Linked DNA regions of Xenopus tropicalis. The protein of the gene in region 1 purifies or fractionates together with the protein of each later gene. This does not show direct contact. Links are inferred from orthologs where the notes say so. Each region holds a gene or a part of one and is shown in the gene's direction. Other genes may lie near its edges.

The links.
Region 2: the proteins of dyrk1a (region 1) and glcci1 purify together in Homo sapiens (affinity purification with mass spectrometry; 8 studies listed by BioGRID and IntAct, with this or other methods). This does not show direct contact. The link is inferred for Xenopus tropicalis from reciprocal best matches to the Homo sapiens genes DYRK1A and GLCCI1.
Region 3: the proteins of dyrk1a (region 1) and lrch3 purify together in Homo sapiens (affinity purification with mass spectrometry; 3 studies listed by BioGRID and IntAct, counting the BioPlex papers as one, with this or other methods). This does not show direct contact. The link is inferred for Xenopus tropicalis from reciprocal best matches to the Homo sapiens genes DYRK1A and LRCH3.
Region 4: the proteins of dyrk1a (region 1) and prkar1a purify together in Homo sapiens (affinity purification with mass spectrometry; 6 studies listed by BioGRID and IntAct, with this or other methods). This does not show direct contact. The link is inferred for Xenopus tropicalis from reciprocal best matches to the Homo sapiens genes DYRK1A and PRKAR1A.
Region 5: the proteins of dyrk1a (region 1) and sec16a purify together in Homo sapiens (affinity purification with mass spectrometry, with the first as the bait; 3 studies listed by BioGRID). This does not show direct contact. The link is inferred for Xenopus tropicalis from reciprocal best matches to the Homo sapiens genes DYRK1A and SEC16A.
Region 6: the proteins of dyrk1a (region 1) and lzts2 purify together in Homo sapiens (affinity purification with mass spectrometry; 8 studies listed by BioGRID and IntAct, counting the BioPlex papers as one, with this or other methods). This does not show direct contact. The link is inferred for Xenopus tropicalis from reciprocal best matches to the Homo sapiens genes DYRK1A and LZTS2.
Region 7: the proteins of dyrk1a (region 1) and fam53c purify together in Homo sapiens (affinity purification with mass spectrometry; 8 studies listed by BioGRID and IntAct, counting the BioPlex papers as one, with this or other methods). This does not show direct contact. The link is inferred for Xenopus tropicalis from reciprocal best matches to the Homo sapiens genes DYRK1A and FAM53C.

Annotation. Positions count from the first base shown.
Region 1 is NC_030678.2:12,501,150-12,504,649, reverse strand, and holds part of dyrk1a (dual specificity tyrosine-phosphorylation-regulated kinase 1A), read left to right. Parts: coding exon 1-69; intron 70-145; coding exon 146-292; intron 293-1,961; coding exon 1,962-2,102; intron 2,103-3,036; coding exon 3,037-3,343; intron 3,344-3,500. UniProt on the Homo sapiens protein: Dual-specificity kinase which possesses both serine/threonine and tyrosine kinase activities. Exhibits a substrate preference for proline at position P+1 and arginine at position P-3.
Region 2 is NC_030682.2:34,486,547-34,490,046, forward strand, and holds part of glcci1 (glucocorticoid-induced transcript 1 protein), read left to right. Parts: intron 1-760; coding exon 761-974; intron 975-3,500.
Region 3 is NC_030681.2:100,436,127-100,440,148, forward strand, and holds the start of lrch3 (DISP complex protein LRCH3), read left to right. Parts: upstream 1-1,222; 5' UTR 1,223-1,241; coding exon 1,242-1,563; intron 1,564-4,022. UniProt on the Homo sapiens protein: As part of the DISP complex, may regulate the association of septins with actin and thereby regulate the actin cytoskeleton.
Region 4 is NC_030686.2:50,524,461-50,527,960, reverse strand, and holds part of prkar1a (cAMP-dependent protein kinase type I-alpha regulatory subunit), read left to right. Parts: intron 1-456; coding exon 457-630; intron 631-1,802; coding exon 1,803-1,894; intron 1,895-2,605; coding exon 2,606-2,667; intron 2,668-3,073; coding exon 3,074-3,120; intron 3,121-3,322; coding exon 3,323-3,481; intron 3,482-3,500. UniProt on the Homo sapiens protein: Regulatory subunit of the cAMP-dependent protein kinases involved in cAMP signaling in cells.
Region 5 is NC_030684.2:6,549,404-6,552,903, reverse strand, and holds part of sec16a (protein transport protein Sec16A), read left to right. Parts: intron 1-2,074; 5' UTR 2,075-2,132; coding exon 2,133-3,500. UniProt on the Homo sapiens protein: Acts as a molecular scaffold that plays a key role in the organization of the endoplasmic reticulum exit sites (ERES), also known as transitional endoplasmic reticulum (tER).
Region 6 is NC_030683.2:29,786,038-29,789,537, forward strand, and holds part of lzts2 (leucine zipper putative tumor suppressor 2 homolog), read left to right. Parts: intron 1-1,514; 5' UTR 1,515-1,553; coding exon 1,554-2,036; intron 2,037-3,500. UniProt on the Homo sapiens protein: Negative regulator of katanin-mediated microtubule severing and release from the centrosome. Required for central spindle formation and the completion of cytokinesis.
Region 7 is NC_030679.2:48,027,591-48,031,806, forward strand, and holds the start of fam53c (protein FAM53C), read left to right. Parts: upstream 1-1,416; 5' UTR 1,417-1,560; intron 1,561-1,602; exon of another isoform or gene 1,603-1,711; intron 1,712-1,779; exon of another isoform or gene 1,780-1,912; intron 1,913-3,157; 5' UTR 3,158-3,282; coding exon 3,283-3,360; intron 3,361-4,216.

The DNA of each region.
Region 1 (3,500 bases):
CTTTGTAACCCAAAACGAAGCGCCATTAAGATTGTGGACTTTGGAAGCTCGTGCCAGCTAGGGCAGAGGGTAAGGATTGGCTCTTGTTCCCACGAAACCGAGGCCACGGAAGCCAATCGGCTTATACCTTGTTTCTTGTCCCTAGATATACCAGTATATTCAGAGTCGCTTCTACCGGTCTCCTGAGGTTTTACTAGGAATGCCTTATGACCTTGCAATTGACATGTGGTCCCTTGGCTGCATTTTGGTAGAAATGCACACTGGGGAGCCCCTCTTCAGTGGAGCCAATGAGGTAAGGCAGTAGCAACACTTTTATTTTCCTTTTGTAATGCGCCATGGATTTAAATTGGTAGATCACTTTTATGCTGTCATGCTCACTTATGGAATGGGGTGTCTGAGACAAGGGCTGCCACCTCACTGGCCCCTCACCCAGTTGCAAAGTCTGCATGCCTATACCCACCCACTGCGTGCACCCCCCACCCCTGTGTGCTGTGTCACGTTCCATTTACTTTTGCCCACGATCCAGGGTTGGGGTGGAGCGCCCAGAGTCCGGCATTGAGCTGGCCCCAGGGCCAAACGATTGAATTAGCCTAAATTCCCCCGATATCGCCCACCCATAGGTGGTGTGCTACATATTACTTACTTCCCTGAGGTGGCCTAGGGAATGCCCCCCACCTTGCCACTCTGAATTTAGTTTTTTTGCGCTGGAGGGGGCCGCGTTGCTAGTGCAGACAGCACAATAGCACTCTCTGCACCAGAAGAGCTGAAATTTCAATTCAGGAAATCCGAATTTTGGCTCTAGAGCGGCTGATTTAGTACCAACCAGCAGGGGAAAAACTCAGTGGCTCAGCAGTGATTATTACATTCTCACGCTAGCTGCACTGGTTTCTGAGCTGCCATGTAGTAATTATCTGTATTAATTACTAATCAGCCTTATATTGTGACATTTATACTTGGTATATACAGTATATAGTGAGTGGGCCCCTAAGCTCAGGTTATACTGTGATATTTATATTCTATATATACAGTATATAGTGAGTGGGCCCCTAAGCTCAGGTTATACTGTGACATTTATATTCTATATATACAGTATATAGTGAGTGGGTCCCTAAGCTCAGGTTATACTGTGACATTTATATTGTATATATACAGTATATAGTGAGTGGGCCCCTAAGCTCAGGTTATACTGTGACATTTATATTGTATATATACAGTATATAGTGAGTGGGCCCCTAAGCTCAGGTTATACTGTGACATTTATAGTGTATATATACAGTATATAGTGAGTGGGCCCCTAAGCTCAGGTTATACTGTGACATTTATATTCTATATATACAGTATATAGTGAGTGGGCCCCTAAGCTCAGGTTATACTGTGACATTTATAGTGTATATATACAGTATATAGTGAGTGGGCCCCTAAGCTCAGGTTATACTGTGACATTTATATTCTATATATACAGTATATAGTGAGTGGGCCCCTAAGCTCAGGTAAGTGCCAGCAGCACAGAGTATGGGCAGGGAATCGGCAGAAAAGGAGATGGGGGGCTACTGGGGCAATCTTAAGGAGCAAAGATCTTCCCTGCTAAAGGGCTGTGGGGGCCTGGGGCTGGTACACAACCCCCCAAACATAATGTACAATATTTCCTTCTTTATTTAAGCTTTAGTTTTCCTTTAAAAGCCAAATGAGTTTAGATGCTTACAGTATGCTTAGAATAGTCCCCACTAAATCTGGGCCTTTATGGCCACCTATAAGGCTACTGCCTCCCAAGTTTAGTCCTCCCCACAGTTTGCAATTCTGTGCCCTATTCGGGTCTTCCCACAGACAGTCACATATATGGGATACCCAATATAAATAACTTGATGATGGCATATTTGTTTTATGGTGCCCCATAATTGTAATGGGTCACTTCATCATGTGTGGGTTCTGCCTCGACTGACTTTGCTTTTGTCGCTTGGTAGGTTGATCAAATGAGTAAAATTGTGGAAGTTTTAGGAATACCACCTGCTCACATCCTTGACCAAGCACCAAAAGCTAGAAAGTTCTTTGAGAAGATGCCAGAAGGCACTTGGAACTTAAAGAAGACCAAAGATGGAAAAAAGGTAATTTGCTAAATTCTATGGAATGGAAAAGGAATCAACGGCTTTGCATGTTTCTAATGAGGTTTAAGCCCAAAAGGCACATTTGGTTATACAGTGCAGTCCCTGCTCTTTCTGTATAGTCAATATACATGTATAAAACTGTCACTAGATACACTGGGTTGTATTATATGTATACAGCTTAGCACTCAGTTCCCATCAGTCCCTGCCCCAGTGGAACTTACAAGCTAAGGTCCCTATCACATTCCCATCAGTCCCTGCCCCAGTGAGCTTACAATCTAAGGTTCCTATCACATTCCCATCAGTCCCTGCCCCAGTGAGCTTACAATCTAAGGCCCCTATCACATTCCCATCAGTCCCTGCCCCAGTGAGCTTACAATCTAAGGCCCCTATCACATTCCCATCAGTCCCTGCCCCAGTGAGCTTACAATCTAAGGCCCCTATCACATTCCCATCAGTCCCTGCCCCAGTGAGCTTACAATCTAAGGTCCCTATCACATTCCTATCAGTCCCTGCCCCAGTGGAGCTTACAATCTAAGGTCCCTATCACATTCCCATCAGTCCCTGCCCCAGTGGAGCTTACAATCTAAGGTCCCTATCACATTCCTATCAGTCCCTGCCCCAGTGGAGCTTACAATCTAAGGTCCCTATCACATTCCCATCAGTCCCTGCCCCAGTGGAGCTTACAATCTAAGGTCCCTATCACATTCCCATCAGTCCCTGCCCCAGTGGAGCTTACAATCTAAGGTCCCTATCACATTCCCATCTGTCCCTGCCCCAGAGGAGCTTACAGTCTAAGGTCCCTATCACATTGCACCACCATTTTTAAACCAACCCATAGTTATTTGCTTGTTTATTTTGTTTATAGACAAATACTGTTGTGCCTGTATATCCAGTGCCAGCAAGTTGTTAACGGGAGTCTGTGTTATTACTCTAGGAGTACAAACCACCGGGAACCCGAAAACTTCACAACCTACTTGGAGTAGAAACTGGAGGACCAGGTGGCCGCCGAGGCGGGGAATCAGGTCATACTGTAGCGGACTACTTGAAGTTTAAAGACCTCATTTTAAGGATGTTGGATTATGATGCCAAGACCCGTATCCAACCCTATTATGCTCTGCAACATAGTTTCTTTAAGAAAACTGCTGACGAAGGTACAAACACGAGTAACAGTGTATCAACGAGTCCAGCAATGGAGCAGTCCCAGTCATCAGGAACCACCTCTAGCACATCTTCTAGCTCGGGTATGAGGATTTGTTCTCTAGCACCCAAATGTAGCACCCACACCTCAGGAAACTCCTTACTGTGCATTCTTAAGGTTACTAACGCTCATTTAGTATGGTTTAATTTGTGTTGCTAAATGCTGTTATTTCCTTCCACAAAGTCTCTATAAATCTAAAG
Region 2 (3,500 bases), on another chromosome or scaffold:
ATAATAAATATGTGTACTTTTCCCACCCTCACATTAGAAATGAAAGTAAATTATCTCAGACATAATGTTAAACTCCCTGGCTCTTATGAAGAGTACTGGTTTCACAGGGTACAGATACACAGTGAGATTACATTACTGTATTATGTTTAAACATATAAAGCTCAGTACTGCAAGTTAGCTTGCACCGTGCTGATTGTATCTGACTTGAGACTTGTTTGCCTCAACACAGTTTTATTACACGGTAAATGCATTAAATCGATATTTACACTCCAAGCACAATGCCAAATAGCAATATTCTGGGTGTTTTCCATATTAGCAGGCAACAAAATGCTTACAGTCATTCCAGATTTCAAGTGCCATTTCAGTGACAATAGCCTGGAATTGTGTGTAGCTTCTGCTGAGCTAGAAATCACTTAGCTGTCAAAACACCTTAATGTACCCCCTCTGTTATTGGCCTAAGGGTAATGGCATATATGCTGGTTTTCACTATCACTGCTACATTTATATATTGCTATCCACTGATATAACTGTCAAATGCCAACATTTGTCCTGCACAGGTGGTACACAACATTTTAGGGTGCTCCCCAGTCAAGCTGCAGTGCATCCCATTTACTTTAGGAAATGAGCAGTGCACTATGGCCCTAAAAAGTATGAAACACAAAAAAATCTAAATAAAAGCAGATAATTGTGCCCGAGTACATATGTATAACCAAATCATGGTGATACAAACACAGTCAATTAAATTGTTATTTTTTCTTAGCCTGTAGAAATTCCTGATGGGAGAAGAGCACCAGTACCTTCCACCTGTCGGAGTAGCAGCACCCGCAGCATTGACACACAGACTCCCTCAGTTCATGAACGAAGCAGCAGCTGCAGCAGCAATCATTCCCCTTGTGCTTCTCCATCTTGCCCTCATGAGTCACAGGAAGGAAGTCCATGCTCAGCGGATGATCTGCTATTTGACCGAGATAAAGGTATATTTTTATAGGATATCAACTGAATTACTGCATAAGAGGCTTTTGTTTGGAAATTGGTATTTCTGGTGTCTTTGGTATAATGATAGAACTGAAAATTACAAACCGCAGATTCACAGAATGACCTGTGCCTAGAATAACTGCCCTTGCACCTTTCAGCCTGAGCTGGAAACAGCAAATCCATCCCTCCATTATTAACATTTCTTACCATGCTTTTGTCTTACAAACATCTTCCATAAATTGCTTGGAAAACCTTTTTGTTTTTGTTTTATATAAAAGAAAAAAATGTTATGCATGAAGCAGCATTTTATATTTAGGTACATATATTATACCTATTTGTAAACAGATTGTAGAATTCCTGAAGGCCGCTCTGTAAATGTTGGTCCACATTAATTTTTTATATAGCGAGGACACCTTCTGCAGAAAATGTGTCGTGTTTTGTGTGAATGTGTAGTATTTTTGCTTGCAGTACCACTTCTCATCCAGATAAAACTTTCCCCTATACTTTGCAGATCCAGGGTGTGTGTTCTGCCTGTTGTGTTAACATACAAGATTATTGTTTAATCGTTTGGTGCAAAGGGAGGATAGAAAATCTAGCAGAAAAAAACATCCTTAGTCCTCCCACTCTCCATCTTGCCTACCCCAGTTACTCCACTTTCACTATCTGATCTCTCCTTTTTTTTTTTCCTCCCTGCACCAATACACATGCTGAGTGCAAAACAAACTCCCACTCATAATAACTTACAGATTATAGACGTAGCAGACATGAGGGTTTTTGGCTTTGTTTGTCCTCTTTTACTGATTTTACTTTCTTATCTCCTGTCCTTTTAGGGCTCTGGCACACGGGGACATTAGTCGCCCGCGACTAATCTCCCCGAAATGCCATCCCACCGGCGAAAATATTGATCGCCAGTGGGATGGCATACGCGCCGCCGCAAAAGTTTCCTCTCAAGGCAATGACATCCCACCGGCGACTTACATTTTCGCCAGTGGGATGGCATTTCGGGGAGATATGTCGCGGGCGACTAATCTCCCCATGTGCCAGAGCCCTTAGGGAACAAAGCACTTAATTAGAAGCAGAGTACAGCTTGCCTTTCATATGAGAGAGTGGATGTAGATGACATCTTATACAACATGTCGTCCCTACGATTGATGGCATTCATTCACTTCATAACATGCATGGTCTCTCCCTAGTGACGATTCGTTTAGCTGCATTGCAAGGAGGCTGTCATTGGCCGCCCTTTAACATGTCTTCTTGTCGATGTACCATCTTAAGTCATATTTATTAAGAGATTATGGGGCTTACTAAATTCTTGACACTGGGTAGATGTGAACCAGGGCTATTGACGAGTGCCATTGGGCGTGAAAAAAGATACACGGTAAAAAAAAAAGGTGCATGTTAGCTGAGATAAAATGCCCACTGATCACAAATTTTTACCATTTTGCAAATTTTTTAGTGAAGTGAAATAGTACAGATTACTACCCAGAGAATGTGTGGAACTGTAGGTCCCTGAATGGAATGTGGGTTATCAGCGTTCTGAACCAGATAGTGTATAGACAGCCTGTCTAAAGAAGTTTAACGTTGCTAAATAGCAGTAGTTGTACACGGCACAGTATTAATTATAATAATTAAAACATAATTCAATTAAAAAAAAAAAAAGTAAACAAATTGACATCAAATTGTCTTTACCAGCATGTCACCGTATAAAGTAGCAGTGCTTTAGGGCAGCCTGGGTTTGATTTCAGAGATGAAATGGACAGAAATGATGCATGGATTAAGTACATGTGTTATGGGTGGGTATTGTAGTGGAAACCTGTATTTTTGAAATTATTAATGGCCAGGGACATCAGCTGATGTATAAAAGCATTAAAGGACATGTAAAGGATGTAACTTAGTATAGACAAGTTGCTTTTGGTAAGTATAAGTCACATCACCTAATCCCAGGCAGTGCTGTGAGTCAGATCATTAGAACCTTGAGTGTCACTGCAGCTTTGGCATGAGCATAGCAAGTAGAATTGCAGTAGCAAACTGAGCTGTGCAGTACACGCCAGCGAGCCTCTGGTTTGACAGTGATACAGTATCTCTGTGAGAATTTCTGTGTTCCTGCATTTTTCTATGACATTATAGCATAGCCAAGCACAGGGCAGGCAAGATGCAATCACAGGTATGATAGATGATAGGTGTAATGTTCTTATCAAGGGGATCCGAGCTCTAGGAAAATGCTACTGCTGATTTTACATCCCTGCCCACCACACATGCATCTGATTTGATAAAGCCTGTTAACATTCTATAATTCAGAAATAAAATCTTTTTGGATTTATTTATCTCCAGCTTTGGTCAGATATTTAATCGCAAGGGTACTATTTGAACTACTGCTTTTAGATATCAAGATAACAGAAGGTGTATGGGCACTGCAGACTTAAAGCAAGACTTTTCTTATAGTTATATTTCGGGTATTTTTAACAATACATGTGTTTCGGTGAGTAGTGAGTCAAGAGACATCACTAAATATATGTAAGAGCATA
Region 3 (4,022 bases), on another chromosome or scaffold:
GGATGGCAACAAAGCACTGGAGAGTTCTGAAGTGGCCAGCAATGAGTCCAGATATAAATCCCATTGAACATTTGTGGAGAGATCTTAAAATTGCAGTTGGGAAAAGGCGCTCTTCCAATAAGAGAGACCTGGAGCAGTTTGCAAAGAGTGGCCCAAAATTCCCGGTGAGAGGTGTAAGAAGCTTATTGATGGTTATGGGAAGCAACTGATTTCAGTTATTTTTTCCAAAGGGTGTGCAACCAAATATTAAGTTAAGGGTGCCAATAATTTAGTCCAGCCCATTTTTGCAGTTTTGTGTGACATTATGTCCAATTTGCTTTTTTTCCTCTCTTTTTTTTGTTCTGTTCCAATACACACAAAGGGAATAAACATGTGTATAGCAAAACACATGTTACTGCAATACTTTTCTGTGAGAAATACTTGATTTTCTGGAAAAATTTCTGGGGTGCCAACAATTTGGGCCATGGCTGTATATCCTGACATGAAAAGAACAAGCTTGTAGAACCAATGTCAAATGTTTTATGTTACAAATGCATAAATAAACACCTTTGAAAAAAGTTCCAGTATTTGCCACATCCCAACTGGCAGCAATTAAAATTCATATGCATATTAGCACTTTTTCATTTGGTCTCTATATGCCACATACAGGGTCAGAATGACCTATGGGACACCAGGAAAAATCCCAGTGGGCCCCACCACCCCAGTGTGCAGTTGGCCAGATTACCATTGGCCAGTATATGTGGTAGTGCGGAGATGGGCCCTGGGTGCCCCAGTCTGGCACTGTACACATACTTCGGGTTGAACTATTTAGAAGACCCCAGCCATTTATACTTAAAAATGATTTCTCCTGGGGAGATAACGTGGGAGATAAAATTGACATTTGCGTCCATATTCAAAATGTTATCCAAACTGTTACATTTTGGTAAACTGGCATAGAACTAATATTTTCTTCAAAAATAATTGTTTATATATCTAGGAGGATATTACGTGATACCCCTCAAGGTCTATTAAGCGTGTGCTTACCCTACGAACGTGAACAGAAAATGTACTTTCATTATCAGTCGCAAAAAGAGGAATTCAGTTACACTAATAAAGTAGTGGCAAATAGGAAAGATACTATTAAACGAATTCTAATTGTCTTCTGGCTGTTCTACGGAAATTCCTTTTTTGGTCCCCTCAACGCGCATACGCAGCTCTGAGGAGCGGTCTCCCCATCTCTCCCTCCCCCTCTACGGGAGCGCATGCGCCTTAAGCACCAGTCCCGCCCATGTGTCCCGCTTCCTGTCAGTCTGGCAGCGCAAGCGCAAATTGGAGTCGGTGTTATGGCGGCCGCTGTGTTGGCCGAGGGCTCGGTAGTGTCTGGTTATTCTGGGATTAATCACAACAGCCATGGAGCAGCGTCGGGGGCCGGAGTGGGCGCAGGGCCGGCTGCATGGAACCGTTCTTTGGAGAGGGCATTGGAGGAAGCGTCGGTGACCGGGGTCCTTAACCTGAGTGGCAGGAAACTGAGAGAGTTTCCGCGGAGTGCAGTCCAGCACGACCTCAGCGACACCACCCAAGCCGGTGAGGGATAAAGTATACATTTCTTTGCCTTATTGATAGTCTGGATGTCCGGCCATTGCCACTTCAGTTTTTGTTGGACTACACCTCCCAGAATCCCCTGACAACCAAAGTCTAGCCCAAAAACAGCCGGAGAGCCTCTACATCATGTAACCTGGAGAATTGCATAAAATAACGCAATACGTTTACTGTAGAAACAAACTCGAGTAGGGGATGTGTTACTGTGTGACAGGCAGCGCGGGCTGGGGGGGGGGGAGGCGATTCCAGCCATTGAGTTACATTTGTGTGTGACGGTGGGGTTGCTTGTGCCACAGGCAATGGGACCTGGTTAGAGGAGCTACAAGAGAGAGAGGGGTGAACTTGGCAGAGAGGAATATGGCAGGTAGGGAGTGCCTGGGCCCGTCTGTCTCTGTGACAGGTGTCTGGCTCTGGGGACTGGCTTGGGAATACATAACCCCACGGATAAAGGTTTGTGGTTTTATCAGTTATAATGATATAGCTCAGGAGTTATGTCGTACATAGAAAGCCATATACTGTGTAATGTTACCAGTGGGATGTGCAAAATACCTCATGAGCATGTTCTAACAAGCATGTTTCAGTAGAGAATGCAGGTCTATGTGACTCCATACATAACCATAAAGGTTTAGACGCAACGTTTTAGTAAAAAGAATGTTGAACTGTGCTATTCTGCTCAGTGTTGGCTGTCTTAATGGCAGGGGTACACGAGGAGATTAGTCGCCCTGCCACAAATCTCCCCGCAATGCCATCCCTCCTGCTAGAAAGTAAATTGCAGGTGTCGCTGCAGTGTCTCACAGTCGTAGCGACGCATATGCCATCCCACCGGCGATTTACATTCTAGTCGGAGGCATGGCATTGTGGGGCGACTAATCTCCCCGTGTACCTCTGCCCTATGGTCCCCTAAGTGGCTGGTAGTACCTATAGCTGAAATAATGCACAGAGTTTTTTCCCATGTTATTAATAGAGCTGTGACACATTTCCACAGCATTTTACAGAGATTATACTTCATTCACACCAGTCCCTGCCCCAGAGGACCTTACAATCTTAGTTCCTTGTCACATTAAAGGTGGCCATACACGCACCGATATTATCGTACGAAACCTCGTTTCGTACGATAATCGGTGCGTGTATGGCATGTCAGCGAGCCGACCGATATCGCAGGAAGCTGCTGAAATCGGTCGGCTCGCCGATCGGCCAAGTTAGAAAATTTTGATCGGGCGCCATAGAAGGCGCCTGACCAAAATTCTCCCTTCAGAGCTGAATCGGCAGAAGGAGGTAGAAATCCTATTGTTTCTACCTCCTTACCTGCCGATTCAGCCCTGAATGGTGTGTGGCGGATCTGACGATGTTTCGTGCGACCGACGGTCGTACGAAACATCGTGAGATCGCCACGTGTATGGCCAGCTTTACACATACTGTGGTCAGTTAAGACAGAAGGCAATAACCTGCCTGTATGTATGTTTTTGGTGTATGAGAGGAAAGCCATGCAGATATACAAAGGAGCTTATATATATAAGTAATTAATATAATATAATAATATATAATAAGTAATTATATATTGAAGTAATTAATATAAATCATAATAACCAGGGTGAGTAGATTCAGTACTGTGCTTTAGGACCTCTCCAATGCTTCCATCCAATGAAGCCTTATATACTACAAATGTCACACCTGAAAAAGAGTTTTAGTGTTAAAATAAAACACATTAACTTTTGCAGTATATACTGCATTTGACCGTTCGTTCCAGACTAATTCTGGCTGGTATACAAATATAAATTTCTTTTGATGTTTTTGGCTCTTTTCGGATTTGTTCAAAATGTAACTCATTGTAAATCTACATATTTTTCCCTTTTAATAATGTCGCAACTGAACTAAAGTCTGTGGACTAAACAGTCTTAAGTTTTACCTTTTCATCTCCCAATGATAGAAAAATATAAATATATAGACACAGCGATTTATGCAGAAGATTCTATCTATGTGTTTTATTGTACAGTGGCAGGGTATTCTGATGAAGGGTCCTATGTCGGAAATATTTTTGTTTGCTTGTTTAATAAAAAATTACAGGAAAATTCACAAGTTGCAATTCTTTAGGAATTGAGTGGACTGTTACAAATGTTTTGGGTTGCAGTGCACCTGCAGCACCAGTACTAGTACCATTCTTCTCACTGATTATGTAAAGGAACAGTAACATCAAAAAATTAAATTGTTTTAAAGTAATTAAAATATAATGTGCTGTTGCTTTGCAAAAAAAAAAAAATGGTGTTTTTGCTACAGAAAAGCTACTATATAAATAAGCTGCTGTGTAGCTATGGGGGCAGCCATTCAAGCTGGAAAAAAGGAGAAAAGGCACAGGTTACATAGCAGATAACTAGTAGATAAGCCCCATATAATGGGGGTTTGTCTGTTATCGGCTAAGTAACCTGTGCCTTTTCTCCTTTGAATGG
Region 4 (3,500 bases), on another chromosome or scaffold:
GTTACTGGGGGAGCAGAGGATGCAATGTTTAGCTGCTTGGAAGGGGCGGGGAGTGCCCTGTGACATCACCGCTTATGTCATAGCTGCAACAAATGCCGCACAGTAAGCTGCCTGCTCATTGGCTGCAGCCCGGGGTGGTTCCTTCATTATCTGCCAGTACTAGAGGCCAGTTGTGCCTCTGTATTGAGGGTATCACTAGCAAGCTAGGCCACTATCGTCATCATCACCATCAGATGAGGGCCCTGCTCACAAGAGCTTACAATCTAAAGGGTAAGATGTGTGGCCAGCCAGTTGGTTCATATGAGGGGCCCTCATTGGTCTGATTCTGTGCCCAGTCTGAGCTACATCTGACCCCCCGGGATGTACGATAAGGCTCTTTGGAGAGTCCTATTGGTTATTAGCCGGGGGGGGGAGATATTAAATGATGATTAACTCCAATTTGTTTTGCTCCCCCAGGAGGAGGCGCGTCAGACATTAAACCAGCAGAAATCTGGCTCCCGTTCGGATTCCCGCGAGGATGAGATTTCCCCTCCCCCGCACATGAATTCTGTGGTTAAAGGCAGGAGACGTCGGGGGGCCATCAGCGCCGAGGTGTATACGGAGGAGGATGCCGCCTCGTACGTCCGCAAGGTAAAGGCCGCAGGTTCCTGCACCCTAGGGGTACTGTAGTCTAGCACCCCAGCCTGGGGGTACTGTAGTCTAGCACCCCAGCCTTAGGGGTACTGTAGTCTAGCATCCCAGCCTGGGGGTACTGTAGTCTAGCACCCCAGCCTTAGGGGTACTGTAGTCTAGCACCCCAGCCTTAGGGGTACTGTAGTCTAGCATCCCAGCCTGGGGGTACTGTAGTCTAGCACCCCAGCCTGGGGGTACTGTAGTCTAGCACCCCAGCCTTAGGGGTACTGTAGTCTAGCATCCCAGCCTGGGGGTACTGTAGTCTAGCACCCCAGCCTTAGGGGTACTGTAGTCTAGCACCCCAGCCTTAGGGGCACTGTAGTCTAGCACCCCAGCCTTAGGGGTACTGTAGTCTAGCACCCCAGCCTTAGGGGTACTGTAGTCTAGCACCCCAGCCTTAGGGGTACTGTAGTCTAGCACCCCAGCCTTAGGGGTACTGTAGTCTAGCATCCCACCCTAGGGGTACTGTAGTCTGGCACCCCAGCCTAGCTGTAGGGGTACAAGTGCTCTAGCACCTCACCCTAGCTGTAGGGGTACAAGTTCTCTAGCACCTCACCCTAGCTGTAGGGGTACAAGTGCTCTAGCACCTCACCCTAGCTGTAGGGGTACAAGTGCTCTAGCACCTCACCCTAGCTGTAGGGGTACAAGTGCTCTAGCACCTCACCCTAGCTGTAGGGGTACAAGTGCTCTAGCACCTCACCCTAGCTGTAGGGGTACAAGTGCTCTAGCACTCCACCATAGCTCATAGCTTTAGGGGTACAGTACTCTGCCCCTACAGCTATGGTGGGTTGCTAGAGTACTCTACTCCTTTATCTATGGTCTGTGCTAGAGTACTTGTACCCCTACAGATATTTTGGGGTGCTACAGTACTCTAGCACCCACTGGCTGCTGTTGGTGAGTTGTAGAACAACCAACGGCTGGAGGAACAACATAAATGAAGTATTATTCCCTGTATCCCCCCCACCCCTGCATAAAGCGTTCCATCTCCTTCCTGTCCTTTCTCCATCCGTAACAATGGGCTCCACTATTTCCCATGCTGAAGGTTAATTGCAAGGTGACTTGCCCTTTAAATTCCCAGCATTACCCAGTGGTGCCTGCTGATATATAACCGCCGCCTCTTTCCCCTTCAGGTTATCCCTAAAGATTACAAGACTATGGCGGCTCTGGCCAAAGCCATTGAGAAGAACGTGCTGTTTGCCCATCTGGATGATAATGAGAGAAGGTATGAGGGGCCCCGTCCCAGGGTGTGTGGCTCCTACTGACCCCGGCTCTCTGGGACTCTGTATGGGCTATAATATCATTTCCCTATACTGGAACCCAGCGCTATATAGGTGCCGTATCATTGGCCGGGACTCTGTATGGGTTATAATATCATTTCCCTATACTGGAACCCAGCGCTATATAGGTGCCGTATCATTGGCCGGGAATCTGTATGGGCTATAATGTAATTTCCCTATACTGGAACCCAGCGCTATATAGGTGCCGTATCATTGGCCGGGAATCTGTATGGGCTATAATGTAATTTCCCTATACTGGAACCCAGCGCTATATAGGTGCCGTATCATTTGCCGGGACTCTGTATGGGTTATAATATAATTTCCCTATACTGGAACCCAGCGCTATGTAGGTGCCGTATCATTGGCCGGGACTCTGTATGGGCTATAATATCATTTCCCTATACTGGAACCCAGCGCTATATAGGTGCCGTATCATTGGCCGGGACTCTGTATGGGCTATAATATCATTTCTCTATACTGGAACCCAGCGCTATATAGGTGCCGTATCATTGGCCGGGACTCTGTATGGGCTATAATATCATTTCCCTATACTGGAACCCAGCGCTATATAGGTGCCGTATCATTGGCCGGGACTCTGTATGGGCTATAATATAATAAGTCCCAGTGTGTAACTCTCCCCTTTTCCCATCTTGCAGTGATATCTTTGACGCAATGTTCTCGGTTACATACATCGCCGGAGAGACCGTCATACAACAAGGTGAGGGAACCGCCCCAGTGCCAGGGTGCTGGCCCATTGCCTCCGGTACCAGGAGTCCGTGCCTTTCACTGCACACAATCCCCATTGCCTTACAGGAGAAAGAGCGGATTATCAGCTTTGTGTTACAGCTTAGCCGTGTCCCCGGGGGGCGGGGATCCATGTACGGCATAACCTTGTCTGACACCCGTGTCCCCGGGGGGCGGGGATCCATGTACGGCGTAACCTTGTCTGACACCCGTGTCGCCGGGGGGCGGGGATCCATGTACGGCGTAACCTTGTCTGACACCCGTGTCGCCGGGGGGCGGGGATCCATGTACGGCGTAACCTTGTCTGACACCCGTGTCGCCGGGGGGCGGGGATCCATGTACGGCGTAACCTTGTCTGACACCCGTGTCCTTTCTTGTAGGTGACGAAGGCGATAACTTCTATGTGGTTGACCAGGGTGAAATGGATGTAAGTTGTGCCCATATACAGCCTTACACAGAGATGGTAACACAATAGGAGGGTTATGATTGTGCGGCCAAAGGATTGGATCTGAGCCAAATTAAGCAGAGTTCCTGTCACTGAGCGACCCCCCCACACCAGTGTATGGGCAGCTATAAAAAACAAATCAAAGGCGTGATAAAAAAAATGTGCCTTAATTTCCATGTTTTAGGTGTACGTGAACAACGATTGGATGACCAGCATCGGAGAGGGAGGAAGCTTTGGGGAGCTGGCTCTGATTTACGGGACTCCCCGAGCTGCAACTGTGAAAGCCAAAACGAATGTGAAGCTGTGGGGCATAGACCGCGACAGTTACAGGAGAATCCTTATGGTGGGTTAACTTGGCCTTT
Region 5 (3,500 bases), on another chromosome or scaffold:
AGTTAGGGGGGGATTTGGGGTGAGTGCTTATTTGTGCCCTGGGTACCCCTGGAACTATAGCAGGGTGACTGTTACCCCAATGTTTCTATATATCTGTAACCTTGTTATGGGCTAAGGGGGCCCAGCCTGAAGGCCAGTTAGGGGGGGATTTGGGGTGAGTGCTTATTTGTGCCCTGGGTACCCCTGGAACTATAGCGGGGTGACTGTTACCCCAATGTTTCTATATATCTGTAACCTTGTTATGGGCTAAGGGGGCCCAGCCTAAAGGCCAGTTGGGGGGGATTTGGGGTGAGTGCTTATTTGTGCCCTGGGTACCCCTGGAACTATAGCAGGGTGACTGTTACCCCAATGTTTCTATATATCTGTAACCTTGTTATGGGCTAAGGGGGTCCAGCCTGAAGGCCAGTTAGGGGGGGATTTGGGGTGAGTGCTTATTTGTGCCCTGGGTACCCCTGGAACTATAGCGGGGTGACTGTTACCCCAATGTTTCTATATATCTGTAACCTTGTTATGGGCTAAGGGGGTCCAGCCTGAAGGCCAGTTAGGGGGGGATTTGGGGTGAGTGCTTATTTGTGCCCTGGGTACCCCTGGAACTATAGCGGGGTGACTGTTACCCCAATGTTTCTATATATCTGTAACCTTGTTATGGGCTAAGGGGGCCCAGCCTGAAGGCCAGTTAGGGGGGGATTTGGGGTGAGTGCTTATTTGTGCCCTGGGTACCCCTGGAACTATAGCGGGGTGACTGTTACCCCAATGTTTCTATATATCTGTAACCTTGTTATGGGCTAAGGGGGTCCAGCCTGAAGGCCAGTTAGGGGGGGATTTGGGGTGAGTGCTTATTTGTGCCCTGGGTACCCCTGGAACTATAGCAGGGTGACTGTTACCCCAATGTTTCTATATATCTGTAACCTTGTTATGGGCTAAGGGGGCCCAGCCTGAAGGCCAGTTAGGGGGGGATTTGGGGTGAGTGCTTATTTGTGCCCTGGGTACCCCTGGAACTATAGCGGGGTGACTGTTACCCCAATGTTTCTATATATCTGTAACCTTGTTATGGGCTAAGGGGGCCCAGCCTAAAGGCCAGTTGGGGGGGATTTGGGGTGAGTGCTTATTTGTGCCCTGGGTACCCCTGGAACTATAGCAGGGTGACTGTTACCCCAATGTTTCTATATATCTGTAACCTTGTTATGGGCTAAGGGGGTCCAGCCTGAAGGCCAGTTAGGGGGGGATTTGGGGTGAGTGCTTATTTGTGCCCTGGGTACCCCTGGAACTATAGCGGGGTGACTGTTACCCCAATGTTTCTATATATCTGTAACCTTGTTATGGGCTAAGGGGTTCCAGCCTGAAGGCCAGTTAGGGGGGGATTTGGGGTGAGTGCTTATTTGTGCCCTGGGTACCCCTGGAACTATAGCGGGGTGACTGTTACCCCAATGTTTCTATATATCTGTAACCTTGTTATGGGCTAAGGGGGTCCAGCCTGAAGGCCAATTAGGGGGGGATTTGGGGTGAGTGCTTATTTGTGCCCTGGGTACCCCTGGAACTATAGCGGGGTGACTGTTACCCCAATGTTTCTATATATCTGTAACCTTGTTATGGGCTAAGGGGGCCCAGCCTGAAGGCCATTTAGGGGGGGATTTTGTACCCCTATATATCTGTAACCTTTCCCGAGCCTAGTTGCAGTTACCTGTGTGGCTGGGCAGATTGCTTTGCTAAGTACCAATTCCTGGTCACATCCTGGTTGCACTATGGGAAATACCCACTCCTGTAGCTCATATTGTTCCTTTTATCATGTTTCCAGCCGCTCATTCATTCACCTGAAATCCATTTGGCAGGGGGAAACCATATTATTTGCCCGTCTTTCAGATCCGAGGTGACACCCGGGGGTTATAGTGTAGGCACTAGTACTACCATGTCTTTACCGTGGGAGCCAGATGAAGCCGGGGAGACGTCTCTGGGACCCCAGCCACTAGATGCCTTTATATATTTATCCTTTATGTACAACGTGGGGGTTGTTATTACCTGCTCTGTAGATCACAATGGATTCTGACAGAGTCTCTTTCTCTCTCTCTCTCTGCAGTTTCATTGATCCTGGAGTTTTGTTTCCGGAGACAGAGAGTCGCCAGTTAAGGACGGAGATGCAGCCCCCTCCCCAAGCTGGGCCTCCAGGCATGGGCGGGCCCCCTCGCATGGGAATGGGCAATAATGCCTACTGGCGCAAAAGGGGACCCAATCCTGTATCATCCGCTTCTACATCGGTGCAGCCAGTGACCGACCCTTTTGCCTTTGGCCGGATGACCCCACAAAGTATGGCGCAGGGCAGTGCCCCGACAGGAAACCCACTGATGGCACCGAGTCCGTCCCCGTCGATGTACCCTCAGCCCGTTCCTGTACACGGATCAGGGGCCGGAGACCAAGGGCATGTGTCTCCCCCATCACTAGTAGGAGCCGTACCACAGCCCGTTGCTAGGGGTGAGATGTATACCAGTGTATCTGCCCCGTCGGCAGCAAGCGCCCCTTTTACCAACTACCCAGCAGCCGCGCCTATTGCCCAGCCCGGACTTGGTAACATGCAGACTTATCAGAATACGGCGAGTGGACTTGAAAACGCCTTTGTGCCGGTGCAAAGCAGGGCCCAGTCAGCCCAAGGCTTATCTACTGCCCCCTACTTTGCCCCTGCACCGTCTCAGCCAACTAGCGCTCCCTGGGGGTCCTTACCAAATGCACCTCCTGTCTCCAATCAGAACTTCCCCCTTCCAGTTCAGCAACAATCCCATAATTCTCCTTATTACTCCCCCCCTTATTTAGAAGTCTCTAATCTGGCACCTCAGGCAAGCGAAACTGGGGCACAGCCAGCACAACAGAGGGCAGCGCCAGGGTACTACCCACCTACCAGCGTCTCCAATCCTACCTTTCAGCACAGCAGTTCACAACCCCCCAGTTTAAACCCGACAGACTATATGCATGGGCAGAATCCTGAGCAGAACTGGTTCAACCAACCATACAAGGATCAGCGGCACCCACCTCTGCCAAGTTCTAACCCGGTACAATACCCGCCTCCGCAGCAGCCCGAGCCCCACCAGGAGGTGCCTAGTGCGTCTGGTCGAGTCTCAACCAATGCAGACTCTGGTACTATATCAATGTTTTTTAAAGGGGAAGAAGAAGAAAATGTGGAAATCGTTTCTTCCGACCAGCAGAACGCATCTATTAAAGCGGACCTTGGTTCTTCTCATTACCAGAACGCCGGATATCAAGGTGTGTCTTCTCTACTGCCGCAGCCGACAGTCAGCAGTGGCATTCCGGCAATGACACCGATCACTTTAGCGTCTGGCGTTCCCCACGTCCCCTCATCTGCCGGCAATGCCACCCATCCGCATTCAGCTTGGAGGCAGGACACCCTTCCTCTTCGCGATAATACGGCTAAACCCAGGGAGATGCCCTACGACAACGTTGAAAACATCGAGTGTGTTCAGAACCAGGAAGTTCTCCCCAACGAGCCCAATCAT
Region 6 (3,500 bases), on another chromosome or scaffold:
GTTGCTAGATGACAGTGTGCCTTAGCCAGGAATGGTGCACACATGCTCCCCCCTATGCCACTGAAGAATAGAAGAGTCCAACTCTCCCCCATGTTTGGTGTTTGGATGTTCCTGTTGGCCCTGTTACATAAGCCTGTACCATTGAAAATGTGACTTGAATTTGACCGATTATCGTTTTTAAAGGGGTAGTTAACTTTTAGTATGTTATAGAATGGTCAATTCTTAGCAACTTTTTTTTATTGGTCTTTATCTTTTATTTTATATAGTTTTTAAATTATTTGCCTTCTTCTTCTGACTTTTTCCAGATTTCAAATGGGGGTCACTCTCCCTGGCAGCAAAAATACTTTTTGTTACTTTTTATTATGTAAGTTTCTATTCAGCCCCTCTCCTATTGCTTTTCCAGTTTTAAAACCACCACCTGGTTACCCATCTATGTGCTAAAATGGAGAGTTAAACAAGAAGCTAAATAATAAAAACACAAATAAAAAATGAAGACCAATTGCAAATATTCTGAGAATATCACTCTCTACATCATTAATGTTAATTTTAAGTTGTAAACTCCCCCTTTAAGTTGGACATCACTGACCTTCCCTAAAGGAAGACCACAAATGGTAACACAGAAAATGCTTGTGTGTTATTTACTGATGGATTTTCTTACTTATTGGGTCGTATAACATGTCTGCTTCTCAGTTGTTGTTTTACTCGGCATGATTGGTCACTGCGACAGCCAACAAATGGTTTCAGGCAGTAACGTGACAGCTTAGCCACCTAAACCATTGTGTGCTATTCACCTGAAGTACCTGAGTAATATATATACTCTGGCTTTATTCAAAGATTGGCAAATAGAGTATTCTTCATTAACACAAAACAATTTACTAATCCAGAACAATTTGATTAATTGCAACTGTGAGCAATAAAGCACTGATAATCTGCTAAATCAGCAAATATCCGCTGTTCCACAAACAAGCGCACACTCTGCTTCCCCTGGGAACGATATTCTCTGTTTATAACTACAGTTAATTGCTTGGGGTGAACTCCAGACGTTTCCATGAAAGAATCCTTGTGTGCTTTATCTATAGTGTTTAGCTTGAGCAGTATGGGAAGGAAATAATATGATAAGGAAATGCTCAGCTGTATTTGTACCAGGGTTGTATTGTTGGTGAGATGGAATGCCCGAAACCTTTGTACTTTGCTTTAGACAATGGCTTCAAAGTGATTCCATACATGTAAAATTATATTTTTAGAAATGGACATGATAGAATAGCATAGGTGTACCTGAGCCTTTTTTGCCTTAATAATAAAAACACTTATGGTCACTCACGGGTCCCCTGATACACAGAAGGAATGTAGCAGTAGACTGAAGTCATGGAACTTAAACTGGAATAACTTTTATTATTGTCTTTTTTCAGTAAAGTGAAATGCAACATGAATTTAGCAGTATGATTAGAAATGCATTGGGAATGTTGTAAAGCTTCCATATATTTAAGTGTTCTTTCTCTTGTGTATTTCTCTAGGTGGTTTATGCAGTCCTCTGTATTTAGATTATCTACACTATGGCTGCCTTGCAAGCTCTTCCATTATCCATTGACCAAAACGCTGAGGTCAGTGGTAGCCAAAGCCATACAAACACCAGGTCGCCTGTCACAGAGAACACCATGGGAAGCGTCAGCAGCTTAATCTCTGGGAGGACATACCATGACAAGCAGTGCAAGGCCTCTGAATTGAGCAACAAGTGCCGCAAACCTACCAACATGCCAAACTGTTTTAAGCAGCAAGAGGGGCTTATAAAAAGTAATTACAGCTCACAGGATCCTCTGTTTAATGGGCTTCCTACAAAGAAACCCTCTACTACTACCTCTGGAAATAATGGGAATTATGTCTACGTCAACGAGGACTTTAAAGAGGAATGGCATGAACCTAGAGTACCAATCAGCCCCTCTAGTGATGCTGAAGATATTCGGGAAGAGAGAGCTCTTAATGGGAATATAAGAGGGCCTCCCCCCAAACTCATCCCAGTCTCTGGCAAATTAGAAAAGGTAATAGTTGATTGGTTATTGGGTGCAAATATGTATTCATTCATTTTTTTTGAAGGGCATGTTTTCCCTGATATCAACTTTTAGCATGATGTAGATGTTGATATTCTGGGACAATTTGTAGTTAGTTTTCCTTTTTTATTTTTTGTAGTTTTTTTTCAGTTATTTAGATTTTTGTTCAGCAGATCTCTAGTTTGGAATTTCAGCAGCTATCTGGTTGCTAGGGTCTTGTTTACCTTAGCAACCAGGCAGTGGTGGGAATGAGAGACAGGAATATGAATAGAAGAGCAACTAAATAGATAAGAAATAAAATGTAACTTTTATTTTTGGCTGATGGGGTCAGTGACCCCCATGTGAAAGCTGGAAAGATGTAGGTGAAGCAGGCAAATAATTCAAAGTATAAAAAAAAATAAATGAAGACCAAATGCAAAGTTGCTAGAAATAGTACATTATAACATACTAAAAGTTGGTGAGAGTATATGGTCCAAAATACTTATTTGATTAAATCTACTAGTCCCTTTATAGCAGTCAACTAGTGCTCTACTCGCCTGTGTATTTGGCCTTCAGTTTATTTCATGGAATAGTGCCCCCCATGATCCAACTAAAGGCATTTTAAAAATATGGTTATTTCCAAATAAATCTCTAGGTTGAGAAGGGGACGGGGCCATCCATTCCATTGTGATTTTAGTGAGGGTGGAAGACAGCAGGTCAGTGGAAAGGCCTTGTGTGTGACCCCTAAAGCCCCACTATGGGACAGACAGAAAGTAGCAGTCAGTAGGTAGGACTGCAATTAGCACAAAGCTTACAATTACAGCTATTTGCATATTTGCACAATGTTGGGCTGTGGGCTATTTACATTGTCAAATTTCAAACAAAACACCTAATGATGATGCATCAGCTTTTATACTGGCGTTTCCTTTATTCCGGCAGCTTCCCGTAAATCCCGTAAAATACACAATTTGCAGCTTGTTATTTTTCTAGGTGTTTTAGGGATTCTTTTGACGCATTTATATCTAATCTTAAAGGCTGGAGGTGGGATCGGAAATCCCAGTCAAGCATAGAGCTTAGTGTTTCTGTTCACTTACTGCTTTATTTTTAGCTCATAATTACAAATCCCTCCTGAAATGTGCAATTCAAATGGGCAAGTCCAGCACGTCAATTAAAGGCAGCTTTTAGTTCCTGTTCCACATCCTCTGAGTAATGATAGGTGCTGTTACCTAAGCATCTCCCGTCTTAGTACGGGCGCTGTAGGATGCCTGAATTAAACCAGTACAGAACATTGTATATAGATAAACTCGTGTTCCTTCTGGAAGGTTTAATACACATACAGTAGAGCATTCAAATTTGCCCTGGTCAGACAACTTCTAGCTGCTGGCTTATGCAATTAGACTAGTTGCTAATAAAGGTCTTGGATCAGTTGTTACAGACCCCCAATAGTATTAGTTGCCCATGCAGACATGTGATCTG
Region 7 (4,216 bases), on another chromosome or scaffold:
TATTTTTATTGTAACTTTTTTTGTACTCATCAATTTTTTACATAAGCATTTATGAAAAGCTGCATAACTTCTGCAGCTCGGCTGTCTTTCAATAAGTACCAAAGCAAATGGCCCTCCCTCCCCCACCCCAAATCTGGTTTATTGGGCTGCTACTAAAATTATTTTTTTTCCCCCACTTCCCCTGCCTATGTACATTTTTAACTAGTTCTGTAAAATGCTAGCTTTTACAACTTTTTCTTTTCGTGTGGTAAAACAAAGCGTGTGTATTTTTAAAAACGGCGTGCTTGTGTCAGAACTGAAAACTTTTGGTTTCTACACTTGTGTGCACCACAATATGTCAAGCATGTGGGCCTCAATTTATGGAAGCACAAAAGCTAAGAAGGGACATTAAATGAGCCTCTTCCTTTCTAATGGCAGATGACTATTGTTTGCAGTGTCTTGAGCAGATTAAGCACCGTGTTGGATCCCATTTATCGGGGGGATTTAGAGTTTTGTTCCCCCACCCCAGAGCAGCAAAAAATATGTGTGCTATTACTATTCTTCAGCGAAAGGAAGGAGTAATTTACTCCCGTAGCTATAAAATATTTCTTGCCATTTATGTTAATCTGGTCATACACACACCGATAATATTGTACAAAACCTTGTTTCGTACGATATTCGATGCGTGTATGGCAACTCGGTGAGGTGACCGATATCGCAGAAGGCTGAGGATATCGACTTGCCGATTGGGCAGGTTAAAAGATTTTGATTGGGCACCATTTGTTTAGGGCTGAATCGGCAGAAGGAGGTAGTAATCCTATTGTTTCTACCTCCATATCTGACGATTCATCAGTGGAGGGTTGGAATGATCTTTCATGCGACCATCTGTTGATCGAAAATCACTACATGTGGCCAGCTTTAAGCAGTGACAATTATAAACAATAGTTTTATAAAATTGTAATGTGATGTAATTCTCATGCAAAGCATGCTGGTACCTTAGCAGCTGCTCCCAGGATATGTTCCCTCTTGTCAGAAAGCTTTGGCTGAAGATATCAGGTTTTTTCTATTTTGAATATACTTAATGTAATTTTTTAATCTGGTGCTTTTGTAAAGCTTAACATTCGTAACATTGGTTCTAAATTGTAGTTGTTTCCGCAGCATTCTATAAACTTTTCCCCCTTACATAGGTCCTGACTTACCAGATCGTCCATACCGAGCGATGGGGCCCTAATAATAAGCAGTACACCACAGAAACAAGGTTTGTCTCTGAATGTAGTTAAGGGGTGACCGTCCTCTGAAATATAGGGCCACTAACAACCCAGATTACAAGTTCCTAGACAGCAGTAAAAACCGCATACTCTCTGCACTGTTCAAACGCCTGGAAACTACATATTCCAGCAACCTTTGCTTTCGCATGAGCTCTCCGGTGTGGGGGGAGCGAAAGAGTGGCTTCTGCTACGGCGAACCGCCCACGCTTAGAGCGCCTCTGGCCACAAGGTGTGATTAGGCGTTTTGCACACAGTATTACCTTTGGAAGAACTGGTACTGATGCTTACAGGTCATCCGCCTCACCGGTAGTCGGTAGGTGTACCGCTATTTGCCCTGTCTATAAAGCTTCATGGTTTATCCCGCAATGGGGACGGGACAGCTCATTCACCTGAGAGGGATATTGGGCCGACTCCGGGATGCTGCAAATCCATTGACCGTCATCTCCGTGCTTGTATCTCTGAATGTAAGGGAAGTAGGAATCATTTATAATTAAATCGGCTTATAGAAACCGGGTATTGTGAATTTCACATCTCAAATTGTAATGCTGTACACAGCAAGCTTCCCCTATTTGAGTGGTATATTCTGGGTGGTATTTAAGGGCGCTGCAGGGCCGCTGCTGGCTCAGAGCTGCTCCGGGTCGCTGGGAGGGTCGTTGCTGAAACAGGTAATTGAAGAAGAACAGGTGGGGTGGTAGCGGGAAGGTGACGGGGAGGTTGTTAGAAAAGCGAGGCCTCTGGAAATCGGGCGGTACGGGATGCGGCCCCTTTTGTAGGCGCTGGTCAGGCCATCTCCTGAGGAGGGAGATAAACAAGCCGTTAACTCTTCATTTTCCACACTTAGAAATGCAGTCACAGGGTGGGGGGCCCACTGCTGCCCTCAGCGTAGCTGCTCGGTTTTGCCCAATAATATGTTACTGAGCAGGCAACCAACTACCTTGGTGTAAATGGGTTACATACATTTCCCCATCCTCCTTCAAACACAACATGTCAGCTTTCTACAGCATTCGCGTAGTTCTCAGATAATTCTGTTTTAAATAAACCTACTGCCGGTGCCATTTACTAATATTTGCAATGTACCCATTGGAAAACAGACATTTTTAATGCTGCTCTGCCACTGAGTGTTTGCCTGGCTTCTAAGGCCTATGTCTTGGTGATCTAAACCTTGTGATCAAAAATGTAAAATGATTATTGAATTATTGAAATGTGTAAACTGCCAACATATTACGTAGCCCTGTATAGTAGATGGGTGTATACATCAAATATGCAGATTCCATACAAATACTGATCAATGCAGGAGGCAAAGAAGGCCCATCTCTGTAGAGCTTGCAATCTAAAATCATTTGGCTTAAACAGTGCAATTTTTCTATTTGTTCAGGTATCTGGAGGCATGGATAACATACACAGACAATATATGTATTTTGCGAATGGGTAGTTTGTCAGTAGCAGGTCACGGTACATGAATGAATGAAATTATTCATAAACCAACTTGTATTTTGTTAAGAATCAAAAGCAAATGATGTCCAAGTTTTATTCAGAACACATTTGACACATTATGGGGCCTCAAAAATATCCATTGACGGGGTGTCCAATTTGCAGCCTTCCAACTCTTGTTTAACTACAATCGTGGCTTTCCTAACAGCCAGATGTATCTCTGGTGGTGCTAGGAACTGTACTTCAGAGGGGGAAGAAAGATACAAGCTGGACATTGCTGATCTGCTGGTTTACAGTCCAGATATTACTTTTAGGTAAATTAGACATCTTGGCTATCAGTTACGTTTCTGGACTAAATTGCTACAACAAAATACATGCATCTTCCAAGAATATTTCTTGTTGCTACTGATTGTTAGTGATTGATTTTAAATGTGTAGAATTATAAAGCTGTTGACTGATTGTGTATTTGGCTCATGCAGGATGGAGTGATGGGGTCAATCTGAGCTTCCACTTGGGTCAGGCCCAATAGATCCTGGCACTTAATGGGCCATCATGTGCTATAACCGTTACTGAAAACACAAATGAACAGCCAGACCTGGGCATCATGATCTCAATGATTACGGAACAATTGCAGAAACAAAGTCTGGAGGATCTAAAATGCAAGTCTTTCAGTATAAGTCTGGTAAGGTGTTCCATCAATCTTCCATGCTTCCATTCCATATCCATACTGCATTTTTAAACTTGAGAAGTCAAGGAATTTCTATATATATCAGCAAACTATTCTTGTAGAAAGTGCTAAATGCAGTGTTTAAAATCAGTGAGTTTGTAAGAAAAACCCAGATTCTGAAATTATATGTTCTATCCAGCTTATCTAAACCATCATAAAGGAAATAGACCTACCCCTAAAACTGATTCTCTGGCACCCCAAGCCTGTCAGTATTACACTGTAGGTTTACAAATATTATTGCCACTATACTAGTTATGGTGCATTTATTTAAAACTCATCAAGGCAGTAATAAAATATGAACTCTGTGATCATAATTCACTAATGTAAACTCCGTAATCTAGTTTACTTTTTACAGTACATGGTCTGCCCTAGAACCAGTTCAACCATGAATGATGTAATATAACTTAAACTTGTTAAAATGTTCTGGTGGTCCGGTTACTGCTGACTATAAATCGTCCCTTAATATAGAAGATGCCACTGTAACACGGACTACATAAGGAAGTAGAGTCAGTTGTAAACACAGCAGGCACATTTCACATTGTAAGATCTTGAAGAAGTAGAGCTGCTTGTGCTAAGGAAGTTTTCTTGTGCACTGTGCAGTGTTGCTTTAAGAATTAAACCTCTTGTGGTTGCTGGACCATAGCTCTTGTTGTGGTTGATAATATACTGGTGGTTGTTGGAATTTGTATTAGAGCAGCATTGCTATGGTAGATTTATGTCCTCTTAAGATCCTGTGTTCTTTTTTTAACTTTGCTACTAGTAGAATTCAGAGCCTATACATTTAGCACATTTAGAAAATATTAGTAAGTAG